7 linked regions of the Callithrix jacchus genome follow. The protein of the gene in region 4 interacts with the protein of the main gene of each other region in a pairwise test. Links are inferred from orthologs where the notes say so. Each region holds a gene or a part of one and is shown on either strand. Other genes may lie near its edges.

What was found.
Region 1: the proteins of LDOC1 (region 4) and NXF1 interact in binary tests that used the Homo sapiens proteins (3 or more experiments, as listed by UniProt). The two-hybrid records come from large-scale screens. The link is inferred for Callithrix jacchus from reciprocal best matches to the Homo sapiens genes LDOC1 and NXF1.
Region 2: the proteins of LDOC1 (region 4) and FAM107A interact in a two-hybrid assay, tested with the Homo sapiens proteins (2 studies listed by BioGRID and IntAct). The two-hybrid records come from large-scale screens. The link is inferred for Callithrix jacchus from reciprocal best matches to the Homo sapiens genes LDOC1 and FAM107A.
Region 3: the proteins of LDOC1 (region 4) and FAM50B interact in binary tests that used the Homo sapiens proteins (3 or more experiments, as listed by UniProt). The two-hybrid records come from large-scale screens. The link is inferred for Callithrix jacchus from reciprocal best matches to the Homo sapiens genes LDOC1 and FAM50B.
Region 5: the proteins of LDOC1 (region 4) and FXR2 interact in binary tests that used the Homo sapiens proteins (3 or more experiments, as listed by UniProt). The two-hybrid records come from large-scale screens. The link is inferred for Callithrix jacchus from reciprocal best matches to the Homo sapiens genes LDOC1 and FXR2.
Region 6: the proteins of LDOC1 (region 4) and GNL3L interact in binary tests that used the Homo sapiens proteins (3 or more experiments, as listed by UniProt). The two-hybrid records come from large-scale screens. The link is inferred for Callithrix jacchus from reciprocal best matches to the Homo sapiens genes LDOC1 and GNL3L.
Region 7: the proteins of LDOC1 (region 4) and SMARCD1 interact in binary tests that used the Homo sapiens proteins (3 or more experiments, as listed by UniProt). The two-hybrid records come from large-scale screens. The link is inferred for Callithrix jacchus from reciprocal best matches to the Homo sapiens genes LDOC1 and SMARCD1.

Annotation. Positions count from the first base shown.
Region 1 is NC_133511.1:120,075,173-120,078,553, reverse strand, and holds part of NXF1 (nuclear RNA export factor 1), read left to right. Parts: intron 1-209; coding exon 210-317; intron 318-430; coding exon 431-489; intron 490-596; coding exon 597-712; intron 713-830; coding exon 831-873; intron 874-1,767; coding exon 1,768-1,840; intron 1,841-2,641; coding exon 2,642-2,824; intron 2,825-3,381.
Region 2 is NC_133516.1:40,405,115-40,409,618, reverse strand, and holds the start of FAM107A (actin-associated protein FAM107A), read left to right. Parts: upstream 1-1,595; 5' UTR 1,596-2,160; coding exon 2,161-2,184; intron 2,185-4,504. UniProt on the Homo sapiens protein: Stress-inducible actin-binding protein that plays a role in synaptic and cognitive functions by modulating actin filamentous (F-actin) dynamics. Mediates polymerization of globular actin to F-actin. Also binds to, stabilizes and bundles F-actin.
Region 3 is NC_133505.1:26,796,002-26,800,486, forward strand, and holds the end of FAM50B (protein FAM50B), read right to left. Parts: intron 2,431-4,485; exon of another isoform or gene 2,332-2,430; intron 2,058-2,331; 5' UTR 2,035-2,057; coding exon 1,048-2,034; 3' UTR 562-1,047; downstream 1-561.
Region 4 is NC_133524.1:138,057,592-138,061,159, reverse strand, and holds LDOC1 (protein LDOC1), read right to left. Parts: upstream 2,046-3,568; 5' UTR 1,916-2,045; coding exon 1,478-1,915; 3' UTR 641-1,477; downstream 1-640. UniProt on the Homo sapiens protein: May have an important role in the development and/or progression of some cancers.
Region 5 is NC_133506.1:74,103,749-74,107,452, reverse strand, and holds part of FXR2 (RNA-binding protein FXR2), read left to right. Parts: intron 1-2,806; coding exon 2,807-2,859; intron 2,860-3,218; coding exon 3,219-3,312; intron 3,313-3,704. UniProt on the Homo sapiens protein: mRNA-binding protein that acts as a regulator of mRNAs translation and/or stability, and which is required for adult hippocampal neurogenesis. Specifically binds to AU-rich elements (AREs) in the 3'-UTR of target mRNAs.
Region 6 is NC_133524.1:54,864,629-54,868,823, forward strand, and holds the start of GNL3L (guanine nucleotide-binding protein-like 3-like protein), read left to right. Parts: upstream 1-1,394; 5' UTR 1,395-1,494; intron 1,495-3,050; exon of another isoform or gene 3,051-3,140; intron 3,141-3,899; 5' UTR 3,900-4,012; coding exon of another isoform or gene 4,013-4,031; intron 4,032-4,195.
Region 7 is NC_133510.1:69,493,845-69,497,548, reverse strand, and holds part of SMARCD1 (SWI/SNF-related matrix-associated actin-dependent regulator of chromatin subfamily D member 1), read left to right. Parts: intron 1-162; coding exon 163-279; intron 280-1,540; coding exon 1,541-1,642; intron 1,643-1,895; coding exon 1,896-2,057; intron 2,058-2,150; coding exon 2,151-2,248; intron 2,249-3,704. UniProt on the Homo sapiens protein: Involved in transcriptional activation and repression of select genes by chromatin remodeling (alteration of DNA-nucleosome topology).

The sequences.
Region 1 (3,381 bases), on a different chromosome or scaffold from region 4:
GAATTTTAGTAGAGACAGGGTTTCACCATGTTGCCCAAGCTGGTCTCAGACTCCTGGGCTCAAGCAATTCACCCGCCTGGGCCTCCTAAAGTGGTGGGATTATAGGCATGAGCCACCGTGCTCAGCCACAGCTCACTCTTGGGAGGTACTGGGTCCTGCTGTGGCTCTAGACCACAGAGCCTATGCTTTCTTTTTTGTTTTTCCCACAGGTACTATGCTATTTATGACTCTGGAGACCGGCAAGGGCTCCTAGATGCCTACCATGATGGGGCCTGTTGTTCCCTTAGCATTCCTTTCATTCCTCAAAACCCTGCCCGGTAAGTATCACATCCCAGAATCTGCCTGGTACCACAGGGTTTCCCAGCAGATACAGGGCAGCACTTGCTGCAGCAATGCTCTGACACCGTGTCCTTTCCTCTTATTCCCCCAGAAGCAACTTGGCCGAGTATTTCAAAGATAGCAGAAATGTGAAGAAGCTTAAAGACCCTAGTAAGTGTGTGATGTGAACAAAACAGGATGGGAAAAGGGCATGGGAAGGAATCTATCATAAAACTCAGGAGTATGTGGCAGCCCCACTGAGCTTTCTCTACCCACAGCCTTGCGGTTCCGGCTATTGAAGCACACGCGTCTCAATGTTGTCGCCTTCCTCAACGAATTGCCCAAAACGCAGCACGACGTCAATTCCTTCGTGGTAGACATAAGCGCCCAGACAGTAAGCTCCTGCTTGTGCCCTGACAGAAGCCTAGAATTGGGATGGGGGTGGCATTTAATAGGCATGGTTGGGGTGCGCTCAGAAGTCTACATTGTACCTGATGCTGCTTCTGTTTCAGAGCACACTGCTGTGTTTTTCTGTCAATGGGGTCTTCAAGGAAGGTAAGAATCTTTAAAGTCCTGAGTTTGTAGCATGGTCCCACCCCCAGCTGGAATGTACCTCAGCACTCTTAGCTTCCCAGCTACTTTCTCTCCCATTTCTTTTTCTTTTTCTTTTTTTTTTTGAGACGGAGTTTCGTTATTGTTACCCAGACTGGAGTGCAATGGCACGATCTCGGCTCACTGCAACCTCCACCTCCTGGGTTCAGGCAATTCTCCTGCCTCAGCCTCCCGAGTAGCTGGGACTACAGGCACGCACCACCATACCCAGCTAATTTTTGTATTTTTAGTAGAGACGGGGTTTCACCTCATTGACCAGGATGGTCTCGATCTCTTGACCTCGTGATCCACCCGCCTCAGCCTCCCAAAGTGCTGGGATTGTAGGCGTGAGCCACCACGCCGGCCCCATTTTCTTTTTGAACTCCTTCTCCCATTTTGCCTCCAAGCCATCTTGGCTTGGCCTCCCCTCCGCCTGTCCTGACAGGATATTGGAAAAGCCTGGGGATTAGGAAGACTTTGGAGTCAGGCAGTTCTTAGTTTCCATCCTGGTTTTGGTTGTGTGGGGCCGTGGACAAGTAACATTACCTCTAAGACTTAGGTTATTTATTTGTAAGATGGGTAATAGCCATCTCACAGTGGTGCTATAGAAGTAAAATGAAATAACTTACAAAGTGCTTGGCCTTGGGCCTGGCACACAGATGCTATCAGTGGGTTAGTAGTTATTAGTATTATTGTACTCTCTGCCCAACCCTTCACCCCACCTCTACTTCCCTTATACATTTAATCATCCCTGTCTGGCCCGCTAGTGTTCTTCGTATCAAATAAGACCATGATTCAAGAAGCTGTTTGTAAACCACTAGTGATCCTAAGGTGTCGTTGCTCTTGTTCTCATTGCAGTGGATGGAAAGTCTCGGGATTCTTTGCGAGCCTTCACCCGGACATTCATTGCTGTTCCTGCTACCAATTCAGGGTAAATATTCTGCTTTTCACATTGGATACCAGTCCTAATCCATGGCCAACAGTGTGGTAATTGGAGGGTAGAGTCAGTCTTCGGGGTGCTTTCAGAAAGGCAACAGGAAATTGGGGAAAGCTCACATAGTAGTTAAGAGCTAGGTAGGAGCGCGGCTCTGGAATTGTACTGTTTGGGTTTTCATCCTGGCTCCACCTCTAGCAAGTAGGCTGCTGCCTCATCTGAAAGTTTATATTAACAATATTCACTTCCGGGCCGGGCGCAGTGGCTCAAGCCTATAATCCCAGCACTTTGGGAGGCCGAGGCTGGTGGATCACGAGGTCAAGAGATCGAGACCATCCTGTTCAACCTGGTGAAACCCCATCTCTACTAAAGATACAAAAAATTAGCTGGGCATGGTGGCACGTGCCTGTAATCCCAGCTACTCAGGAGGCTGAGGCAGGAGAATTGCCTGAACCCAGGAGGCGGAGGTTGCGGTGAGCCGAGATCGCGCCATTGCACTCCAGCCTGGGTAACAAGAGCGAAACTCCATCTCAAAAAAAAACAATATTCACTTCCTAAATTTGTTGTGAAGATAAATAAAGGACTAAGAACTGTCCATGTGTTGGGAGAACTCTAGTGTGTTTGGTAGATAATCCTTCCAAACATGGATTCCATGGGAGGAGATAAATGATTAAAGGTAACAATAGCTCAGAGTGGGAGGGGAACCTTGTGAATACTGAAGGAATCTGAGAGTAGGAATGATGTTGGGGGATGACATTATATATCTGTCCAGCTTTTTAAGTGCTCTTTGTCCTCAAGGCTGTGTATTGTAAACGACGAGCTATTTGTGCGGAATGCCAGTTCTGAAGAGATCCAAAGAGCCTTCGCTATGCCCGCACCCACGCCTTCCTCCAGCCCAGTGCCCACCCTCTCTCCAGAGCAGCAGGAAATGTTGCAGGCATTCTCTACCCAGTCTGGCATGAACCTCGAGTGGTCCCAGAAGTGAGTGTTGGGCATATGTATGTAGGGTGGGGATGTACTGAACCAAAGTAGGAGTAGTCGTGACTAATGAGAGCTCCTGACAGGTGGGTTGTTTTTGTTTTTGTTTTTTTTTTAATTAGAGACAAGGTCTTGCTCTGTCACCCAGGCTGGAGTGTAGTGGTGATCATAACGCACTGTAACCTCTAACTCTTGGGCACAAGCTATCCTCTCACCTTAGCCTCCAGAGTAGCTGGAACTACAGGCATGTGCCAGCACACCCAGCTTTTTTATTTTATTTTATTTATTTTTGAGACGGAGTTTTGCTCTTGTTACCCAGGCTGGAGTGCAATGGCGCAATCTCGGCTCACCACAACCTCTGCCTCCTGGGTTCAAGTAATTCTCCTGCCTCAGCCTCCCAAGTAGCTGGGACTACAGGTGCGCGCCACCATGCCCTGTTAATTTTTGTATTTTTAGTAGAGACGGTGTTTCCCTTTGTTGACCAGGATGGTCTCGATCTCTTGACCTCGTGATCCACTGCCTTGGCCTCCCAAAGTGCTGGGATTATAGGCGTGAGCCGC
Region 2 (4,504 bases), on a different chromosome or scaffold from region 4:
TCAGTAACAACAGTATTAAGAAGTGCCGTGCAGCGAGCACTTGTGATGAGCCGGGACTGTGCTAAGCACTCGATCAGCTTAGACTACTTCATTTAATCCTCCATCATGTATTCTTCCACTAATATTGCTCTAGACCCAGGGGGGAAACTGAGGAGCAGGACAGACCAGGCCCTGGCCTTTGTGGAACTGCCATTCCAGGCAGAGGAGACAATCGACACAGAAGTCATATCATTTTGTCACTGATGAGTGCTGCGACAAAGTAATAAACAGAGAGCCTGGGAACTACTGTGCAGAAGGTGTCAGAGAAAGCTTCTCTGAGGAGCCTGAGAGATAAAAAGGAGAGAATCATGCAAATATCAAAATATGAAATATGAGGAGCAGAGGGGAAGTTGGGGAGGAAACATCCCACGCAGAAAGAGTAGCAAGTGCAAAGGCCCTGGGAAGGGGAAAGGTGCTGTGACCCAGAAGCTGCCAGGGAGAGGGAGGAGAAGGAACTGAGGTCCTAGCAAGGCCATTTGTCAGACCTTGTGGACCTGGGGGCTTTTGTTCTGTTGGCAAGGCTGGACAGAATGCCTAATTCTTGACCCTCCAGCTACGGTTCCATGAGGCATCTGTGTGTGTGCCAGGCACCGCGCTAGAGGAAAGGAAAGAGTGGCAAGGTTTCCCGACCCGCCCACCTCTGGGGAAAGGGCGTTGTGCTTAGTGAACTGGTTAGCCGGGACTTTCCAGTGGGCAATGGACTTATCATTTGTGTTCTTAACAGCAGCACCTAACTTCGCTGAGGAATTGTTCGCTAGATGCTCTGCTTACCCTCACAGCCCCAGGCAGTGGGGGCAACTGTTACCCACCTTTAGTGAAGCGACAGATTATAAAACAGGGAGTGATGGCCAAACACAGTGGCTCACATTTGTAATCCCAGCACTTTGCGAGGCCAAGGCAGGCAGATCGTGAGGTCAGGAGTTCAAGACCAGCCTGGCCAATATGGTGAAACCTCGTTTCTACTAAAAATACAAAAACCAACTGGGTTTGGTGGCACACACCTGTATTCCCAGCTACTCGGGATGCTGAGGCAGGAGAATCACTTAAACCTGGGAGGCGGAGGTTGCAGTGAGCCGAGATTGTGCCACTACACTCCAGCCTGGGTGACAGAGTGAGACTCCATCTCAAAAACAAACAAACAAACAAACAAACAAACAGGGAGTGACATGCTCTGATTTATGCTTACACAAAATGATAGCTTCAGCTGCACACACACACCTTACTTCATTTAGCCATGTGCAGTGGGAGTGCTTATCACATACGCTCGTGCGCGCGCACACACACACACACACACACCCCGTGCCCCCAAGGCCACACAGCTGTCAGGGGCAGAGCCACAGTTCAAGCCTAAGGTTTTTTCAGGCTTAACCTCTGCTACAAGCTGGCATCACAGAGAAGGAAGGGGCTGGCAAATGAGGAGGAGGGTGATTGCCGGGGGCACTTTGAGAACTTGGCCCCAGGCCTGGAATCCAGCCTTCAGCTATTTTCTTGGCCTGAGCCCAGACCAGCTGACCTCCAGCCCTCCCAGGCAGCCTGCTGCCCAGGCGTCTGCTCTCAGAGTTCCTGCTGTGGGAGAGCCCCAGACCCCAAGAGTCTTCAAAGGTCTATTATTAATGGGGCTGTCCAGCCGAGGCTGACATCCCCACGCAGCCGTCCCAGAGCTCTGCACCTCAGCCAGCCCTCGGCCTTCCCTGTCTGGCCCTGTCTGCTGAGCAGTGCCTAGCAAGGGCCAGCCAGAGGTCACCCGCCGCACCTGAGCTACCGGTGTGTGATGAGAGGACTGCCTCGCGTCTTCCCCCCTTTCCCAGCTGCCTTAGTTTCCCTTCCTGAGAGACGCAGCGTTCTGGGAGGTGAGGAGCTGCAGGGACCCAAGAAAGGCATGGGAGCCGCCTGGGGACACTGGCCCCTCTGTCAGGATCAATCGCCCTAAGCCTGTCTGAGGCGCTCTGGGCTTAGGAGCAGCTGTGAAAGCCGCCTTTGTGCCGGGGAGAATGAGCCACAAGAGGACAGGGGGCCCTGGCCCCGGGAGCCCCTCAGGTCCTGGCTCCTGAGATCCACGCCAGCAGGAAGGACCCCAGCCTGGTCCCTGCAGCCCACCCAGGCCTGGTGCCACCTCGTGCCATGGGAGCAGCCCAGGGGAAGAAGGTAGGAGCCCCCAAGCGTCCTGTTGGGGCCCCGGACACGGGAAGGGAAACTGAACCCAGCAAGTGGGAGCCCTGACCCACCTACCCGGGAGCTTCAGCTGGCACTGCCCACCAATCTTCTTCCTGGCACTCACAGCCAAGATGTGCAGCTAGAAAACTGGTGGGGGCTCAGGGCAAAACCAGCATCCTAATCTCTCCATCTCTAGGACAGACTTGGGGACAGCCGAACCTCTCTGGCTCCCTGGTATTAGCCACACACATCTCTACTTCCCTGAGTAAAAGCTCCCAGGGTACCCCTTCCCCACACCCCAGGAGAGTGTCTGATGCAGGTGGATACAGGGGAAAGATCTTAAAATTATTATGATTATGATTATGAGTTGGCTAACCAGCTGTTACCAGTTGTAGGGCAATGGGCAAGTTATTTAAGCTTTCTGTACCTCATTTCCTCACCTGTAAAATAGGGCCAATAATAATCACTACCTTGGAAAATCGTTGTGAAAATTATATGAATGAAAGCGTTTAGAACGCTGCCTGGCACTGTGTAGAGGCTCTGCTCCTTTGTTAGTAGAATTCTATTCATGCTATTATCCCTCACCTCCTATGCCTGAGCTCTCAGCTGGGGGTTTGTAGACAGCACTGCCTGAGCAGTGTTTCTGGAAATGCACCCCTTGGACCCCTGCATCAGCATTGTGGGGCGGGGAGGAGCAGGGAGCTTGGAAAACAGTCGCTTTCTCGGGGCCCGTCAGACCTCCTGGATCAGTGGGGGCAAAGAGGGGAGGGGCCTGCATGTACTCACCAGCTCTGGGGATTGTGGGATTGTGGCACAGGAGCTCACTGCTCTCCACCCACAGCCCAGTACTGCCACCCCGGGGCGTGGTCAGGCTGCGAAGTCCCAGCTCCACCACCCACCTACTGTGGCGAGGACCTGAACCCCTCTGGACCTCAGCTTCTTGTCTGTAAAATGGGGCTGGTACCTGCTTTGTGGGAGGTTCAGTAAGGTGTTGCTTGTGAATGCTTAGTGCAGTGCGCTACCTGACACCCAGAGGGTCCCCAATAAACAGGGGACTCTGACCTTCAGACAACCAGGGATGACCTATTCCATCAACGCTGAGACACTCAGGGAAGAAGTCATTTCCTAGCCAGGGTCATGCAGCTAGTGGGGGAAAGAGCAGGGTGGTGGTGGTGTTAATTTGGAAAGGGGAGCTTTATTTCTCATAAAGATTACAGCCTGCAGGGTGGCCATTCCAACAGGCCGGGAAACATGGCCTCTGGCCAGAAGCCAGAGACTGATACTTTGAGGAAGAGGCAAAGGGAATTGAAATGTATGCTGAGCACCGTGGCCAAATATACATATTCAATAAGCTGTGGGGGAGTCATGTGTATTTATGAAAGGAGAAACATGTGCATGCACAGCTGAGCTTCATGCCTCTTATGGGCCCCGTGTACAAAAAAGTGTTGGCCTTAGTGTGATCGGAGGGTGGAATTTTCAGCCCTCTGACATCAAAGGGGAAGCAGGGGGCATGAAAACCCTCACTGTGCATCCTCTGCAGACTGGCTAGAACCGCTCCATGACTGGTGGTCTCTTATCAAGAAAGAATGCTGGTGGGTTTTTGTGTCAAAACCGTAAAAGGGTGGAGCAGTTGGTTGAAATCAGCATGGAGTCTTTTGAAAAGGCCGGCTTCTGTTTAGCTCTTAGGGAAGAAAGTCTAGTGGAGGTTATCAAGGAACAGGGCACCACAGGGTGCATGCAACCTCCCATCCTGCCATGGCCAGAAACTCACTTTTCAAGATTTCTCTGGGGTCCCCTTGGTCAAGAGGGGGTCCGTTCAGTCACTTGCGGGGGTTAAAGTTTTATTTTTCTTTCTCATTTTTCTTGGGAAGGATTTTGACCCCACTCTGCTTGATGCCAAACAAGCCAGCCCATCCCACCCTTCCTGGTCCATAGCCCTGTCCACGGCATCTTGATCAACCCCCACCTCAACCTCCCATAGGAGGCTGTTGACCGGGCACCTGCTGCCCTGTGCCAGGGTCTGTGTGAAGCTGGAGCCAAGGATGAGGAGACACAGTCCCTGACCTTGAGCCCATCCCTGTCAATCGCAGAGACTGACAGGCAAGCAAGTAGGAGTATGTGTGACAGTTGAAGCAGAGGGGACCGGGCACATGACCCCTGGGCCAAGAGTCAAAACACAACGTTGTTGTGTCTATTCCTCTTAGACAAGGTCTGGACTTTGCTTTTAGGTGAAGTCACTTTTGTTCCCTGAGGAGTGTCAGGGGCATGGTCTTTGCCTAGAATTCTAAGCCCACACTGGCAGAGGATGGAA
Region 3 (4,485 bases), on a different chromosome or scaffold from region 4:
AAGCTTCTCTGATGACCCTAAGGGACCCACTGCCCTAGAGAGCTAATGTTTTGATGGAAGTTCCTGCTTATGGGCTGAGGCAAGAACTCTAATGTCCCTCCTACACTCAGGTCTGGGACTGGGGTAAGATGAGTGAGGCACCCACCTTGGTCATTAAGGTTAAGGGGAAGGAAATGCCACTCAGTAATCAAATAATATTTGAACACAATATTTTAAGAAATCAAAATTAACATAAATAATTCACAATGAATAAAATACAAACATTTTCAATAAAGACAGGATCTGTAACTCTGCCCTGTGGAGCCATGTTGGAGCAAAAGATAAAAAAATGATACTGACCCTGCAGGCTACTGGGATTAGCTCTCTGTCCTCCTAACTTCTGGGGCTAAACAGCCCAGCTAACGGTCACCAGAGCGGGGGCTGCTCCCCAACCTCTGCGAGCCCCTCCTGCTGGCAACTGCTGATCCTGAGACCAGTGATGGGCAGGTCCACCTTTGCCCTTAAATGGTTCCAAACAAGGTCACTGCAGTCCTTTAAATAAATTAACCAAAACCATAAGAATAACCACAAAACACGTTTATTAAGTGCTGTTTTACAAATATTAACTCACTTACTCTTCAATCTTATGAAGTAGGTGCTCTTATTTCCTTTTACAAGTGACTAAACTGAGGCACAGGGATTTAATAAGCTTGCCCAAAACTACACAGCGAGGAGGAAGCTACGTCAGGAATCAAACCCAGTCAGTGTGGCCCACAAGTCCATGCTCAAAACCGCTAAGTAAAAAATGTGCCCCCTATTCTAATTTCTGTCTCACAGTGGGCCCAGTCATGGTTTCAACACAGCTCAGCAGAGCAATGCAGCAAATCCAGGTAGCAACACTGAAATACACAGAAAAGACCACCCAAGCAACGAAAGAATAACATCAGCAAACAGAACAACTAATGTGAATCACGAGAACCCTCTGTCTTTATTACACTTGGGGGAAGAAATCAAGTCACGGTGACGGGTTTGATTTCTTCCCCCGGTTTTCACACTGGCAGGTGGGCATCAGCGGATGGTGTACTTGTCCCACTTCTTCTCGGGGTCATAGGGCTCCCAGCGGCTGGCGGGGAAGATGTGCTTGTTCTTCTCGTACCAGCTCCGCAGCACCACCTTGCCCGCGTGCGACTCATCCTTCTCCATGGTGGCGTCGCTGAGCAGCCGCACGTCATCATGCACGTCGAAGCTGAAGAGCGGCCCGCTCTTGCCCCTCGCCCTGGCGATGATGAAGTCGTAGAAGGTGTGGTAGTGCGGGAGAATGAGGTCTTCCTTGATGTACATGAGCTGCTCCACGCCGGCCGAGCGCAGCTCCAGGAAGTCCTTGCGCAGCCCCTGCAGCGCCTTCTTCAGGAACTGCTGCACGGTGTTGCCCTTGCGCACGCGCAAGGTGCGCCGGTGGCCCGAGCCGTCCCAGTAGCTGAAGGTGACCTCCATCTCTTCGTCTTTCACCTTCTCGCGCTGTGCCTCCCACTCTTGGCGCAGCTCTTCTCGGAGCCGGTTCTCCTCCTCCTCGCGGTCGCGGTCTGGCAGGAAGCTGGTGTCCACGTCGGGGTCCTTACCCAGGTTTCCGGGGCGCCTGGCCTCGGCCGTGTCAGCCGCGTCGGCCTGGTCATCGAGGTCGTCGAGCGCGAAGGACAGGCAGGAGATCTTGCGCTTGCGCTCACGCCGCTGCTCCTGCTCGCGCAGCCGCTCCTGCTGCAGCCGCTGCTGCTCCTGCTGCTGGCGCTGTGCCAGCTGCCGCTCGCGCTCGCGGACCAGGGCCTCCTGCCGGGCCTTCATGTCATTCAGGGTCACCAGGCCCACCGTGCTGGACTTCAGCTCGGCCTCCACGGCGTCGTAGTGCGCGGAGAACTTCTTGTCTACCTGCGACTTGAGGATGGTCTCCTCGGCGATGCGCTGCTTCAGCACCTCCATCTGCTCCCGCTGCTTCTCGCGCTTCTTGAGGAGGTGCATGGCGCGGCCCGCCTCGCGCATGGTGCCCTTGTACTGCGCCATCGCCTGCGCCTACCCGGTGGGCTCTGCAGCAAGGTAAAAAATGCAGAAGGTATAGAGGGGCTCGCGCAACAGCAGGGAATGCGTAGCAGCGCCTCCTCACAGGGCTTTCGGCCGTGAGGGAAGCGTTCCGGGGCTGGGCCGCCCTGCTAGGGTAACCACCAACCTGGCAGTGTCGCCACGCACCAACAAATGTAAATGCGAATGGCCACACGTAATTGGTGGCTGCCACGCCAGAGCGCAGCGCTGAATTTGGGGAGCGGCATACAGAGACGGTAGGCCTACAGAGCGGACCCTTACCTGCTCAAGCACTCGGTCGAGCGGAGACACGCGGGAGTTGAGCTCCAAGAGAACCACCCACGAGCAGAGGCCCACCCGTGCCAGGTTCCCGTGACAGACGCAGACACAGGAAGTGGAGGCGGTGCCCCCTGGCGGGGAGGCGGGCCCTGAGGAGAGCACCAGGCTCCTGGTAGGGCAGCTGCGGAAACAGGAAGTGGAGGCGGCTCGCCCCCTGCCGGGGAGGCGGGCCCTGGGGAGAGCCCAGGCTCCTGGTAGGGTCAGTGCTCCTGAGGGGCGGGCCAGCGCAGGGAGGAACCTGGCGAAGGCGCCTCTGTTCCTGTCCATCCGAGGCTGCGTGGGCTACTGTTTACGTGCTGTGGGCAGCGCGCCTGCCCAGACATGCAGTGCGTGCGTGCTGAGCCTTCTCGTGGCCAGTTGCAAACACGCAGAAGCAATGTGGGCGCAGCTCAGGGTGCTGTCGCCATCCAAAGAGGCTTGCAACCGCCTTGCAAGGCTGAAGCCCTACTCTCCAACCCTCCTCCTCCGGTGTCTCCTCCTGCCTCTGACTCTACCCCACCGAGACCCTCCCGTGAACATTACTTGCGCACCACTGCTTGTATTCGTTCTTATGGCCCCAACACAACAGCCATTCTTTGATAGTAGAATCCTACTCGCCCCCCAATTTCATGACAAAACCTACTCTGAGATTGTTTGACCTCCTTTACGGCAGTTTCCCCCAAATTCTAGGCTCTAATAACCATGGGAAACTGAGTTAAAGTATAGCAGTGTCTTTACTGTAAGCATTTAACATGCCAGTTTCCGCCGTAACTCTCCAAGAGCAAAGGAAACCAGTGCATGTTTTGTGACCGTCTCTCTCTTCCAGGAGATCTGGTAATACTGAAACCGGTACTTCATGAGACCTAGTTTGGAAAAGCTGGTTGTGAAATATATGCCTGCGGTTCTGCCTTCTCCCGTCTAATAGCAACAATGCCTGTGAACATAACCTTACCAAGAAGCCTGAATCATATGATAAATACATATGGCACCCACATATCCAAAGGAGCATAGATCACGGTATGAGCACTCATCAAATTGTCCAAACCAGAAACCTAGGCGTATTCCTGGAATGACGTTCCTTCACATGTAATCAGTTACAGAGAAGCCTTTCATACTTTTCTTTTTCTCTCATTTCCCCACCACTTGCCTTAATCTAGGAAACTGGCATCTGATGTTTTTCTTTTCTTTTCTTTTTTTCATCTAAAGCCTTGTCATTGTTGCCCCATCACCAGAATACAAGCATATCTCATTTTATCGAGCTCTTTGGATATTGTGTGTTTTGGTTTTGTTTTTACAAATTGAAGGTTTGTGGCAATGCTGCATCAAGCATCTGTTGGCTCCATTTTTCCAACAGTGCTGTGCTCACTTTGTGTTCCTGTGTCATGTTTTGGTAATTCTTGCAATATTTCAGACTTTTTCATTATGATATCTGCTGTGGTGATCTGTGATCAGTGATCTGTGAGGTTACTGTTGTAATTGGGGCATGCCGAAGTGTGCACATAGAAGATAAAGACATTTATTGATTTAATCGATAAATGCTGTGTATGTTCAGACTGCTCCACTCACTGGCTGTTCCATCATCTCTCTTCCTCTCCCCAGGCTTCCCTAGTCCCTAAGACACAACAATATTGAAAGTAGGCTAATTAAAAACCCTACAATGGTCTCTAAGTGTTCAAGTGAAAAGAAGTGTCACACATCTTTCACTTTAAATCAAAGGCTAGAAATGATTCAGCTTAGTGAGGAAAGCATGTCAAAAGCCAAGATAGGCCAAAAGCTAGGCCTCTTTTGCCAAACAGTTAGCTAAATTGTGAATGCAAAGGAAAAGTTATTGAAGGAAACTACAAATGCTACCCTGGTAAACATATGAACGATAAGAAAGCAAAACAGCCTTATTGCTCATGTGGAGAAAGTTCTAGTGGTCTGGATAAAAGATCAAATCAGCCCTAACAAGCTCTTAAGCCAAAGCCTAATCCAGGGCAAGGCTCTAAGTCTCTTCAATTCTGTGAAGAAGTAAGGAAACTTCAGAAGAAAAGTCCAAAGAGGTTGGTTCATGAGTTGAGGAAAGAAGTCATCTCTATAACATAAAGTGCAAGGTGAGGCAGCAAGTGCTGATGGAGA
Region 4 (3,568 bases):
CCAGGTTGACCAAGATGGTCTTGATCTTTTGACCTCGTGATCCACCCGCCTCGTCCTCCCAAAGTGCTGGGATTAGAGGCTTGAGCCACCGCGCCCTGCAGAAATATTTGTTAAGATCAGGGTTTATCTTTATGGGTACACGTGCCCAGGATCCAGGATTTAATGTTAGCTGGAGCATCTGAGAGTGACATAAAAGCAATATACTATGTTGGCTATTTGGAGCCTGAACTCAGCAGCTACACATAGGCAATAAGGATTAAGGGGCAGAACTTCCCTGGTACAGTGTTAAGGAATCTGAAAGCTCAGATAATTGGGAGCATTACATCTCTCTCTCTCTCTCTCCCCCCTCTTCCAGGTTTATGACTGTTGTTATGGTCTAATTATTAATACTGCCTCTTTGCCATCTGCTCAGCCAAGCCTTACCCATGCCATTCTGGAGGAACCAGAGGACATACCCTTTGCCAGGGCTTTATGAAATACATTGGTGAAGGGAACATCAGAACACTGACAGAGCCCTGAGGTAGCTGTCGCCAACAGCCTGGAGATGACAGCGGGGAACCCTGATTTCCATGGGAATAATGGTAGACAGAGTGACAGTGTTGGAGGCCAGTGACAGCACTTAACCATTAAAAGACAATCATTTCTTTTTTTTGTAGTGCTTGATATTTATTGAAAATAATGCCAATGCTTTTTCCAGGTAGTATTGAGGAGCTGGGCTGAGTGCTTGCTTTGTTCTTAGTATTATTTGTCCAAATGCACACATCTGGGGGACTGCTGCAATTTTGAAAGTAAAGTGACAGCTGTGTAAAACCAATGCATAGGAAAAAAGAAATGTCAACAATTTGGCTGCCAGGCACACCAAGCCCCTGCAGCAATCTGGTGGGGCATGGGAGGACCCTCAGAGTGGGTAGAAAACTAACCAGGCTGAATGATTGGCCCCTTCATGGGTTGGTGAGCTGTCCGAATCAATGTCCGAAGAGGTATAGCCAACTCTGGCATCTTCCAGGTTGGTCCTTACTTCGAAAGGCGGTAGTATGTAGGTGGGATGTGGTGAGTGGATGTGAAGTGGCAGCATAGTTCTCTGGGCAGATGTAAGCCTGGCAGTAGGGTAGGTGGCAGCAGCAGGGCTATGGGTGGTATGACCAATTTATAATGGGGGCATGGCCAATAACTGGGGCTCAGGACACAGTTCGGATTAGCAGGGGAGGGATTCAGGGGCTGGCCAGGGTAGATGACACTTCCAAGCATTTCCGAGTGAGTGAGGCTTCAGCCCCAACCCCAGCAGCAGGTAAATGGAGCACTATTCCTGGAACAAAGACAAGCACTACGGAGAAACGAAGAGAGAGAACTGAAGGGCGCGAGTAGGGAAGGGGACCAGAGGGCAAGGCGGAGAACAGTGGCTCCCGGCGGGGTGAGGGCTGGAGAGAGGGGGTGGCGGCGTGCAGGGCCCTCCCCGCTAGGCCTGAGGGTCTAAGGCCTAGTAATCATCCTCTTCGTCGTCGTCGTCGTCTTCATCGTCATCCCAGCCAAAGCACTGTTTCATCTCATCGAGGAAGGCCCGGTAATCACCTAGGATGGGGCTATCCATCTCGATGTAGGGCACCACCCACTCCTCGGCTTCCCCGGTGAGGAGGCTGATTAGGAATGCCACCTTCATGGCGTCGTTGCAGAATCGGTTCTCGTTCACGAGCATGTAAGACGCCGTCTGCACGATAAACTCGGGGAGCCGGGAACTCTCGCCATTAAACGTTTCGGGGAAGGGCACCGGGCAGCTTGGCGGACGTACCTGGCGCAGCAGGCTGGCCCTCTCGCACACCAGCAGCCGCAGCTGTTCCATGAGCTGGCTGTTCTCGATGCTCAGGGCGCGGTGCCGCATCAGGAGCGCATGCAGCAGCAGCACCAGCTCATCCACCATGGCGAACGGCTTGGAAGTACAGGGCTCGGCTCGGTGCGGCTCGGTGCGGCTCGGCTCGGACAAGGTGCGTACGGAGGCCTCGCAGGAAGTGCTTGTCCACCAAGGCGCGCGAGGGCCAGGGGCGGGGGGCGGGGGGGCGGTGCGGTGCGCGCCGGAGTCCGGGAGGCTACGCAAGCCCCGCCCACGCGGCCTTTCGGACGGACGGTGCGCCGGCGCGGCGCGGGAGGGGCGTGGCCAGGCGAGGGGCCGCGGAAGCGTGGGGGCGTGGCCGGGATGGGAAGAGTGTAGACACACAGGGCTTGGCTAGGACTAGGATGCGCTGGGTTGCTGAACCACCGGCTTGTCGTAGCCCTCTAGGCGGGCAGTTAAAGGCTGCGGTCGGCTGTCAGAGCTCCTGGATGTGGGGCCTGAATTAGCAGAGGACCTGGCGAGCGCTGAATCCGGTCTCAGAGAAGGTACACTTGTTCAAGCTGAAAAGATTAACCACTCTTCTACCTAGCCAACTCGCACAACTCAGTGTTCCTTCGTGGGTCTGTGGCCACTAAATTCTCTTGGCGCGATGTTTTATTAACACATTTTCTTTCTTGTTTAAATCTCACTTAGCGAAGTATTGACACTGCTGGCTGCACTGTGGAAGTCACACTTCCTTTCAGGGTCATGAAGACCCTCAGGGGGTCCTGCCTTTCATGAAAAAGGCAGTATTTAAACAGTGACTTATTTAATTGGGAAATAATATGATATACCTACCTTAAAAAAAAAAAAAACCTAAATAGCAAGATATAAAAAGTTCTGCAAAATCAGCATCCGATAACCAATTGCAGGCATCCCACACATTTTATTCTCTATTTCTTGTTCTGCTACTAGTGCCATTGGCCACTGGGTATTATTCTCTACTTAAAAATGAACTGTGAAGATGTGAGTGTTTATAAATAATTTTCTTTTTCTACTTTAAATGGATCTCTGATCCTAGAGCTATCATGAATTATTGGCTCTGCTTTCAAATATATTGCCAATTCAATCATGTCTTGCCATTTCTACCACTGCCACCCTGATCCCCACCCAGCCTTTCTTTCTCACACACTGCTGCAACTAATCACTTAGCTTTCGCTTTTTTCTACCTATAGTATATTCTCCATAAAGTAGCCACGGGAATCATTTAAAACAAAAATTAGATCCCTTCACTCCCTTGCTCAAAATCATCCAAGTTTCATCTCAGAATAAAGAGCAAAGTTGCAGCCAAGGTCTACAAAGCCCTTCCTTCTATCCTATGCCTCTTCCCATTTTCTGCTATGCTCTAATCACTGTCCTTGCTGATTCTCACACACGTCAAGTAGTTCTGGCTTTGTAGCCTTTGCACCTTCTACCCCTTCTGCCTTGCAAGACTTGTCCCAGTTGGCTGCCTGACTCCTTCACCTACTGCTTTCAAAGAGAACTTTTCTGGCCACCGGACCTATCAGAGAACCCTGTTCTCTGCCACCAATCTCTAACCCTTGACTCTGCTTCATTTATCTACATAACATTTACTGTGCTACTGGCCAACATGTCAAATAGCACTTTGCTCATCATCTGCTTCTATTTTGCAATATATGTGTCAAAGAAACACTGCCTTTGCTACCTGCTGTATCCCTAATGCCTAGAAAAATTCTGGCCCAG
Region 5 (3,704 bases), on a different chromosome or scaffold from region 4:
CGCAGCCTCTGCCTCCTGGGTTCAACCAATTCCCCTGCCTCAGCCTCCCAAGTAGCTGGGACTACAGACACACACCACCATGCTCAGCTAATTTTTGTATTTTTAGTCGAGATGGGGTTTCACCATGTTGACCAGGATGGTCTCGATCTCTTGACCTCGTGATCCACCCACCTCGGCCTCCCAAACTACTGGGATTATAGGCGTGAGCCACCGTGCCAGGCCCTCTCTTTTTTTTTTAAGTAGCTATGGGATTTTGCCATGTTGGCCAGACTGATCTCAAACTCCTGGCCTCAGCTGATCGTCCTGCCTTGGCCTCCCAGTGTTGGGATTATAGGCGTGAACTACGCACCCGGCCAAAAAGGATAGTCTTTTCAACAAAGGGTGCTGAAACAACTGGATATCTATAGGTAAAAAATGGTCTGGGCACAGTGGCTCATGCCTGTAGTTTCAGCATTCTTGGAGGCTAAGGTGGGTGGATTGCTTGAGACCAGGAGTTCAAGACCAACCCTGGGCAACATAGCGGAACCCTGTCTCTGTTTCAAAAAATGTTTAGGCCGGGTGAGGTGGCTCAAGCCTGTAATCCCAAAATGTTGGGAGGCTGAGGCTGGCAGATCATGAGGTCAGGAGATCACTGGGTATGGTGGCTCATGCTTGTAACCCCAGCACTTTGGGAGGCCGAGGTGGATGCATCACAAGGTCAGGAGATTAAGACTGTCTTGGCCAATATGGTGAAATCCCATTTCTACTAATAATACAAAAAAAATTAGCTGGGCATGGTGGCACATACCTATAGTCCCAGCCACTCAGGAGGTCGAGGCAGAATTGCTTGAACCCAGGAGGCGGAGATTGCAGTGAGCCAAGATCGTGCCAGTGCACTACAGCCTGGGCAAAAAATAAATAAATAAAAAAGATAAAAAAAAAAAAAAAAAAAACAACATCAGGAAATCGAGACCATCCTGGCCAACATGGTGAAACCCTGTCTCTACTAAAAATACAAAAAAAAAAAAAAATTAGCTGAGTATGGTGGTACACACCTGTAGTCCCAGCTACTTGGGAAGCCGAGGTAGGAGAATTGCTTGAACCCAGGAGGCGGAGATTGCACTGAGCCAAGATCATGCCACTTCACTACAGCCTGGGCAACAGTGTGCAACTCCGACTCAAAAAAAAATTTTTTTTTAATTTAAAAATATGTAAAAAATTTTAAAAAGAGGCCAGGCGTGGTGTCTCATGCCTATAATCGCAACACTTGGGACGGTTGAGGCAGGTGGATCACCTGAGTTTGGGAGTTCAAGACCAGCCTGACCAACATGGAGAAACCCCATCTCTACTAAAAATACAAAGTTAGCCAGGCATGGTGGTGCATGCCTGTAATACCAGCTACTCAGGAGGCAGGAGAATCGCTTGAACCCAGGAGGCAGAGGTTGCAGTGAGCGGAGGTCGTGCCATTGCACTTCAGCCTGGGCAACAAGAGTTAAACTCTGTCTCAAAAAAATAATGGTAATAAAAATAAAAAATTTAAGAAAGAACCTTGATCAATACCTCACCTTATATGTAAAATTTAATTCAAAATGGATCATAGATGTAAATGTAAATGTAAAATAAAGAACTAAAAGTGTAAGAAGAAGACATAAGAGAAAACGTTTGTGGTTTTGGATTAGGCAAAGATTTCCTTTCCTTTTCTTTTGAGTTCTGCTCTTGTTGCCCAGCCTAGAGTGCAGTGGCACAATCTCGGCTCACTGCAACCTCTGCCTCCAGGTTCAAGCGATTCTCCTGCCTCAGCCTCCCAAGTTGCTGGGATTACTGGCATGCACCACCATGCAGCTAATTTTTGTGTTTAGTAGAAATGGGGTTTCACCACGTTGGCCAGGCTGGTTTTGAACTTACCTCAGGTGATCTGCCTGCCTCAGCCTCCCAAAGATTACTGGGGCCTGGTCAAAGATTTCTTAGATATGAAATCAAAAGCACAGTTGAAAAAAGAATAAATTCATGTTGTATTTTTTCAAAATTAGAAATCCCTAATTCTATGTGAAAAATAGGGAGAAGGTAGAAAAACTGGTAGCGGAGGGTTGACTGCATGGGTTTGGCCTTCTTAGGACATAGACAACAGTAGATGGATCAGCTGTTCAGTCATCCCTGTTCCTCTCTCTCGTCGTTATCTCAAGATTGGGGTCTTCCATAAATTTTATTATCCTTTTTAAATTCTCAGTATCACTCTAGATTCAATTCTAGTATTAAAAATATAGGATTTGTTTAAGTCCTAATTTCTTCTGTAACTGTGTTCTAAATTTTGAACTTCTCTAGTGTTCTGACTATTGTCCTAGGACCCAGGCATCAGGGCAGAGAGTCTGCTCAGATCTTTTGCTGTATTGGGGAGGTAGGCCCTTCTCTTTCTTGACAGATCCTCATGTCCTCTAGGTGTTCCAGGACAGCCTCACACTGTCTCATGGGATATTCTTAGCCTTGCTGAATGTTGTTGGTATTTTAATTGAACTCTGGCAGGCTGCTTAGCACAACAGGAGGCAGGCAGACAGGGAGGCCCCTGTGGGAGCCTGAGTGGATCACTGATTTCCAGGCTGTTCTGATGCAGGTGGTACATACATCTATCCATGACAATATAATTTCCTTTTTCTAGGTGACTGCCCATATTGTTTCCCCAATGCAGCCTTTCAGGCTCTCTCATTACACCACTTGTATCCTTATCTAAAACTCAAGTTTAAGGGTTTGCAGTGTCTCTATTCCCTTGATGGCTAAGGTGGAGGTAAAAGGTCATTTTATATTTTTTACTTTTTCCTAAAATCCATTCTAGGGCTTTGTGAAGGATGTCCATGAAGACTCTGTCACCATCTTCTTTGAAAACAAGTAAGACCTTGGGAATAGAGAATCCAGCATACTAGGTCCTAGAAGGAGAGTGGAGAAGAGGGGGCGGCTGAGTCCTATGAGGCATGTAATAGGTGGGGAGAGCTGAGGGTTTGGGTGGGAAACTTATATGGATCCCAGGAGAGGAAAGGGCTGAGAATTTGGTGAGGGTGGGGGCATTTGACCCAGTATTTAGAGTCTAGAAAGAGATGGAAGACACCACTATGGAGGAGGGCCTGGGATTTAGTCTCTAATTATCCAGAAAGGTGGAAATTGCCCAGCTGAGGCAATAACCCCTTTGTAAAGAAATGGGCAACCATATCAGTCTGAGTAGCTTTTTTATATTACTGTTTCTCTTACAGCTGGCAAAGTGAGAGACAGATTCCTTTTGGAGATGTCCGGCTACCACCTCCAGCTGACTATAATAAGGAAATCACAGAAGGGGATGAAGTGGAGGTAAGGGCTGTGGAGTACAACCCTTTCTAAATGCTACTTTTCCCTAGGATTCTAGACTTCCCTCTGGTTGGTTCATGTTCCTTTCTCCCCAACTAAGCCATATCTAGCTATGTAGCCTATGGAAATGTAAAATGCAACAGTTTCCCTTTCATTACTGTCGTGATTAGCCAGACTTTCAGGGAGATCCCATTTTAGGGGATTTACCTTCCATTTGTGGTAACAGCATCTAAAATCCAGTGCCCTCTTAGTTTTTTTGTTTTGTTGTTTTGAGACAGAGTCTCACTGTTGCCCAGGCTGGAGTGCAGTGGCACGATCTTGGCCCACTGCAACCTCCGCCTCCCAGGTTCAAGCAGTTCTTCCACCTCAGACTCCCAAGGAGCTGGGATTACAGG
Region 6 (4,195 bases), about 83 Mb from region 4:
TGGTGGCTCACGCCTGTAATCTCAGCACTTTGGGAGGCCGAGTTGGGCGGATCACCTGAGGTCAGGAGTTCAAGACCAGCCTGGCCAACATGGTGAAACCCTGTCTTTAAAACAAACAAACAAAAAACCATTTGTTGAAGACTGCCTCCTACCAGTCTTGTCCTGGGTCTTGTTGAAGGCTTGAAGATACATAGCCCCTGTAGGGAGTTCACTCTCGTGTGGAGACACAGCCACATAAACAACTACAATATTAAGTGATAAGTGCTAGCTTAGCTGCATAGGCAAGGTGCTCTGGGTTTCTAACTCATCTGGGAAAGTCAGGGCAGGTTTCATAGAAGTGACAAGAGTTAAGTCTTAAGGAAGCAGAAAAAATTTGCCAATGCAGGGGTAAAGGTGAAGGTGGTCAGGGCTGGTTTGGGGTCCAGCGGAATTTCATGTGTTTCTAGGATGAGAGGTTAGAAACCCTCCAAAGATGTAGAGAGGTAGTGAGTCCTGTTTATGTAAGGGGTAAAGGGATAGAGGGAGTCCTTTTCAGCCCATCCATGCTTGAAGTGGAGAAAGAAACCCACCCTCACAGGCACAGTCCCACCTACTCTGTGCCCCACCCCACAGTTTAGGTTTGAGGAAGAGGAGGGGCTGGAATGAAACCATCAGGAAAGAGGCATTTCAGACTAATATTTACTGTTTTCTAGGGGAGACCTTACTTCCCAGCTAGCTCCTTGAGATGGTTTCAGAAACCCTTACTTGCCCCAGTCCAGAGATATAAATTCATTCCCTTCTGCAGGCGCTGCTCCGTGATTAAGGGAAGGATGGAGTAGGAGGGGAAGAAGGCAAACGGGTGGGAGAGGCTTCTAGTTGTGCTGCTCCATTTCGGGTCGGGTCTGGCCATAGATCTGAACTTACGCATAAAGAGCTGGGAGTGCTCAGGGAGTGTCTGGGGCCCAAGGACCCGGGAAAGTCGTTGGGAACAGCTAACCATTCACTTTAGGTGGGGAATACTCGGCCAGACATGTGACCCAGGCGGCCATTTTCTTACACCCTGCTGACGCCATCTTCCATGCAGACAAAGACATCATCCCCCACCCTTGTTTGATTCGGGCATGGTGCCTGCCTGGTTACTGAGGTTTGGAAGTACGCATATTTAACCCCAGACAGATCCCCGCAGACAAAATTTTGACTTGCAAGTAGGGTATATGGCCGCAGTAGTCGGCCCGCCGCTTCTTCCTGTCACTTCGCTGTCCTCCCTCTACCTCCTCAGCTGTTTCCTTAACTATGGGGCAGCCAGGAGGCGGGGCCAGCGTGGTAGCGAGGAAGGGACCGGCGGGCGCGAGCTGTCAGTCAGAAGCCCGCCCCCCGAGGAGAACGCACAGTGGGCGGAGTCGGGCGCCGCCGGCCTAGGATCCGGAAGTCTGAGCCTAGCTGCGCCTGAGCATTTGCTCGCGCAACCGAGTTGTCGTGTGGCTGTTTCTTCTCACATCCCCGCCGGAAGTATAGGTAAGAAACTACTCTCTTTTCTCACGGTGTGCGCTCACGTAGACGACTGGGCAGTTAGGATCCTGTATTGAAGGTGAAACCACAAATGCCCGCCAGCCTGGAATAGAGAGGTAAACAGCCGGATCCTTTCTAGGCTACAAGGGCCCAGCAGAGGAGCAGGGATCGCAGCACACGTGGAGACGCGCCGAATTGCCTTTTCGCGGGGTGGAGTTCTCTGGGAGAGGGGCATTGCCGCATCGCATCTAGAAAGGTGTAAATCCGGGACACACTGTGTAGAGAGGCACAAACCTCACTTGTGTGGTGAAGCGTTGATCGTCCTCAAGATAGTGAGGCTCCATTCTGCGTTAACCCTGTATACACAGGAGTCGACTCACCGAAGGCATAGGGGACATCCACCCCAATCTTATGTATAGAGACATCTCTTTCCACTCAGCTGAGCAGTGCAGACTTCTCCCGGTTTAAGGCACTTCCTTGGCCTGGCTCTAGACAGCCGCCTCGAGGCACCTCCGACCTCTGGACAGACCAAGGCTTTGATGTATCTGTCCCCATACCAGTATAGAGGAGCTCAGAAACATTTAATACACAGGTGGAGGGCAGCTCCTCCCCATTCGTGTAGACCTACAGCCCTCAGTATCACTCCCCAACTCACGCATCCCCAAAGTGGTTGCAGATACAGTTGTGGACAACTAAGCCTATTGCCTCCTCCTCTTAGGTTAAAGTGAGTCCCTGTTGCGGAAAATCAGATCTGATCCCTACCTCCGTAGCCCCCGTTTTACCGAATGTGTATTTTTTTTTTTTTTTTTGAGAGGGAGTCTCGCACTGCTGCCCAGGTTGTAGTGTAGTGGCGCGATTTCGGCTCACTGCAGTCTCCGCCTCCTAGGTTCAAGCAATTCTCCCGTCTCAGCTTCCTGAGTAGCTGGGACTACAGGCGTGTGCCACCACGCCCAGCTAATTTTTTTGTATTTTTAGTAGAGCCAGGGTTTCACTGTGTTGGCCAGGATGGTCTGGATCTCCTGACTTCTTGATCCACCGGCCTTGGCCTCCCAAAGTGCTGGGATTGCAAGCGTGAGCAACCATGCCTGCCCCCGAATGTGTAATTTTTTGAGGCACCCAAAGTGCTTCGAAGCAAGCAGGAACAGACCTTAATCCATGAAGAGACAGTCAGGTCTGCCCCTTGAGGTGCCATGGAGGTAGAGGGGCTCAGATGTGTTCCTCTCCCTTTGACATAGACACACATCATCCCCCAACCTCCTCCAAGGATTTAGAATCACTAAATGTAGCAAGTGAGATACCCCACAGGAGCAGCGATGCATGCCCCCCTCCCTGTAATGTTGAGAGGCAGTGATATCATTCATTACCTGGCAGTGCAGTGCATATGGTCTCTCCCCTTCGTCCAACGTAGTGGAGCTCAGATCTGTTTCTCACCACCCAGGGTAGAATCATTGATCCCCCCTCCTGCCCCCAAGTATTAGGGCTGATCTATTAATTTATAGCTGTATTGCCTGCCCCCTCCACACACCACCCATGCAGAGAACCAGAGGCCTTATTTCTTTCAGTGTTAGTGTGCTGCTGACTTCAATCAGCATAAAAGATGAAAGCTGTCACAGTCTACTTCCCACAGAAGGGTGCAGAATAACTCACTGAAGGTAAGGTGCAGACCCACTTATTCAAAGCTTCATTGTTGTGGTGTCAGGCATATCGATCCTGCCCTACAGCCCTTTCCAGGGTAAAGAGACCCAGGACCCATCCCCACAATCTAGAGATAAACAGATCTGTGGTTCTTTTCCCATGTAGCAGAGATGCACACAGCCACTTTGTGAGTTTCCCCAGTTTCTCTGTACCCGAGTAGAGGGACAGTTGGTAATCCCCCCAACTCAAGTCACCAAGGTATAGACCCCAGGCAAATGCAGGCACAGATTTTTTACCCCCTCCTCCAAGATTTTGTACTTATCTCAGTCCATATAGACACGCAGGTAAAAATCCCTGTTCTCAGGCCCCCTTTCCCCAGGGTAGACTCCTGGGATCTATTTACCCCCTTCTCCACCATCTCTCCTAGGTAGATGAGATATAGAATTCCCTACTTGGGAAAAGAGGCACTATTATTGGCCCATGTAGAAATGGACCATCCTTGCATGCCCCTTTCCCCTCAGTGTGAAGGGGTTTAGCACTAGTTTCCTACCTAGGGTTTAACACTACGGTGTGGAGGAATAAGGACCAAAGGCCCCATCTGATGCGTTGAGGCACTGACTCCACCCGGGATGAGGTTGAGACCTATCCCTCCCTTTGGGTAGTGTGGACTCCCTTCCCTGTGTGGACTCAGCCATATGAGGCTCTAGCTCCAGCTTCTCCCAGTTTTCCTAATTATTATGGCTTCTTCATAATGTGCTTTAACATTTTACCTTTAGGGGACTTAGGTGAAGGCTTGTGGCATTGTGGTTCCCCGCTGTCTTCAAATTGCTTCTCCCATTCTGACAGGAAGAGAGCAAGCAGATTTGAACCTGCTTTCAAGCTGGTCGTCATGATGAAGCTTAGACACAGTGAGTTTCCTTTACCACCCCTACCAATCCTGTGCTTTTAATGAATGTTCATAGAATTTCACAGTAACTTTTTCTTTTTTTGTTTTGAAACAGAGTCTTGCTCTGTTACCTAGACTGGAGTGCAGTGATGCGATCTCAGCTCACTGCAACCTCCACCTTCTGGG
Region 7 (3,704 bases), on a different chromosome or scaffold from region 4:
TGGTTTAATACCTGCAGAAGCCTACCTGTCTCTCCTAAGAGATATTCAGAAGATATTTTTGAGTTTTTTCCCATTGCTGTTGGGGTTCCTTTTTCATAGGATTTTGTCTTGGGAAGTTTCTTCTGGCCGTTTCTAACATGATTTTTCTTTTTTCTCCTCTAGTCAGCCTTGTCCAAATATGATGCCACTAAACAAAAGAGGAAGTTCTCTTCTTTTTTTAAGTCCTTGGTGATTGAACTGGACAAAGACCTGTATGGGCCAGACAACCATCTGGTAGAAGTGAGTAGTCTGCCTTCTAGGCTTTGACTCTGATTGAAGGATGAGATGGACTTGGGAGCCATATTTGAATGTCTAAGAAGGGGAGATAGAAAGTAGTCACTCTGGGTGTACACAGTACTACTCCAGGTATACGGTTTGCACATTGACCTCTAGGTGGCACTAGCATGTTTAGTTAGGACCAAGGGCTCTTGTAATCTAACTCGTCTCATCTTTTAATGTTACTATGCTGGTCACTGCGGCCTCTTTCAAGGGAAATTTTACTGGTGGCCTCTTGTACATGCCAGGCCATCTCTGCATCTTGCTTGCTAATGATGGTGAGACGTAGTTATCCATGCACCAATCATACTTTTTCCTGGTAGCAGTTGCTGTAATTAGAGGGATTGACTGATAGGGTACTAGTACTTGCCAGGGTCACCATCAGGAACTTCCTCTTGGTCTCTGCTCCATTTAGATTTACATTCCAATTCACCAAAAATCCTTTATTAAGATGCCTGATTGCACGCCGTTTTGAAGCCCATGTTAGCAACAGTATTCTTTGGGATACAGGCAAAACCAAATGATAGTCCAGCCAGCACTCCAAGTGAATTTAACCTGCTCCTTTCTTTGCCAGTGTAGCTGCAGCCCCTTAACCTCAACCACTAAGAGACATGGAAAGGTCTTTACCACCTAATAAGGGAAGTAAGTCATAGAATCAATAGAAATTTGTAAATATATTTAACTTAATTTTATAGCAATAGAGTATAGTGGTTAAGAATGTGGACTGTAGAATCAGACACACCAGAGCTCAGATCGCAGCTCCACCACTTACTGGCTGTTTGACCTAAGCAGGTTACTTTGTTCTGCTGAACATTAGTTTTCTCATCTGTAAAACAGGCATAAGTGTGCCTATCTTGTATAGATGTTTGGAAAGTGATAATCCAGGTAAATGTCTTAGAATATTCTTGCACAGGTACTCAGTAAATGATAGCTATGTTATGTTACTGTTCACATCTGTATTAGCCATTTTGTGGATAAAATTATCACTGGACATTCAGGCTTAATTGAATGTAACCACAAACAGAATTAAAAGGTTAATCTACTTATACACAGACAGTAATCCCAAAGCCATATGCAGTTTTTAAAAATGCCTCATGCTATTGCTATTACTCTTCTCCAGTAGCCTCAATAATCAAAGTTGAATATTCAGTCATTACAGAAGCTCTTCCCTCCCACCCCAGCTCTTCCTCTGGGAGAGCACCCCCTGACATCTTCCTCTCTGTAGTGGCACAGGACCGCCACTACCCAGGAGACCGACGGCTTTCAGGTGAAGCGACCGGGAGATGTGAATGTACGGTGTACTGTCCTACTGATGCTGGATTACCAGGTATTCTGTGGTGGTGTGAGGGGGTCCAGCTTTCACAGCCACATCCAGTCAGCAGTCTCCCCTTAAAGGGTTTACGTCTAATTGTGAATAATTTGTCACTTTGGCATAGAGATAAGAGTCTTAGTGATCTCTGAGTTCTTCCTAGAATGTTTCTGTCCCAGAGAAATCTCTACATTGTTTGTTGAATGGCTTGAATGTATTACTGCATATAGACCCAGCTAACTGGCTTCATATACCCTTTGGTTCCCTGCAGCCTCCCCAGTTTAAATTAGACCCCCGCCTAGCTCGGCTTCTGGGCATCCACACCCAGACTCGTCCAGTGATCATCCAAGCACTGTGGCAATATATTAAGACACATAAGCTCCAGGATCCTCATGAGCGGGAGTTTGTCATCTGTGACAAGTACCTGCAGCAGGTAAGTAATGGACACATTGCTTTGCTAGAATCCATTAAGACTACTAGTTATACTCAAAATGCTAACCTCAGGTGCTTCTGCCCTTTGCTACAGATCTTTGAGTCTCAACGTATGAAGTTTTCAGAGATCCCTCAGCGGCTCCATGCCTTGCTTATGCCACCAGAGCCTATCATCATTAATCATGTCATCAGGTAGGCCTGTGTGTGAGATGCAGTGCTGTGCTGGAGCTGCCTTCTACCGACTTGCACAAGCCAGTTGTCAAATTTTCAGGAATTTTGCAAACAGGTTGTTAAACAAAGCTGTTATTTACAATTAAATTATATAAACTTATAATTAAATATATTAGACTAAAAGTGGGTAACATAAACTCAAAATGTATTACTTCCTCATTATTACATTTTATTATATTTATGCTCTTGAGGTTATTTTTGCCTATTGTATTTGCTTGTTATATTTGCCTATTTTTATCTGGTGGAAATATGATATAATGTGTTTATCTGTTACTGCACATCTCTTCCCAACTCTGAACAGTAATGTGATGTTGGTAGCTTGAAATCAGAATATTTAAGCTCCGGAGATCAGCAGATGCCACACACCTGGGCTCTTCCTCCTGTCCTCCTTTGGAAGATCAGTTGTTAAGCATTTACCAGGTCTTCACTGACAGAAGGGCTCAGGGCCCATCTTTTCTCTGGGTGGTTCAGCATTCAAGTCTGAGCCTCCAATTACATTACTTCTATTCACTTTTTTGTTTAGAAGATGGAGAGCAAGGCACTTCTAGGCAGATAGGGAGTGAAAAAAAGTCGTTTCTTCTCAAAGCAGTGTGTCTCTGTAGTTGGATATAGTCTCCTTGCCTTCCTTTCTTTACTCAGTTTTAATTCCAGTAAGGGGTTTTTTTTTTCTTTTGACCCTGAACCTACAAGATGATAGAGAGGAAGATTTAAAAAAGAAGATAAGGCCCTGAACCATCACTAGTAGTAACTCCTCAACCTATAAATTAGGTCAGTAGAAGTTGGTCTGTCCTGTATTCCTGTGCTTAAAGTTAGACCACTTAAATTTTGTTTGACTTTCATTCTGGGGTCAATTTTAGTATAAAAAGGAGGAAGCCAGGCACAGTAACATGTTCCTTGTAGACCCAGCTACTCCAGAGGCTGAGGTGGGTGGATTGCTTGAGCCCCAGAGTTTGAATCCAGCCTGGGCAACGTAGCAAAATCCTGTCTCTGAAACAATGAAACAGGTTTGTTTGTTTAAACATAAAGACTCTCACTCTGTCACCCAGGCTGGAGTGCAGTGACACGATCTCGGCTCACTGCAACCGCTGCCTCTTAGGTACAAGCGATTCTCGTGCAAGTAGTTGTAATTATAGGCATGTGCCACCATGCTGGCTAATTTTGTATTTCTAGTAGAGATGGGGTTTCACCATGTTAGCCACGCTGGTCTTGAACTCCTGGCCTTGAGTGATCTGCCTGCGTTCGCCTCCCACAGTGCTGGGATTATAGGCATGAGCCACCACACCTAGCCAAAAAAGTTTTTTAAATTACTATTATTTTTTTTTTGAAACAGAGTTTCTCTCTGTTGCCCAGGCTGGAATGCAGTGGTGTAATCACGGCTTACTGCATCCTCAATCTTCTGAGCTCAAGTGATCCTCCC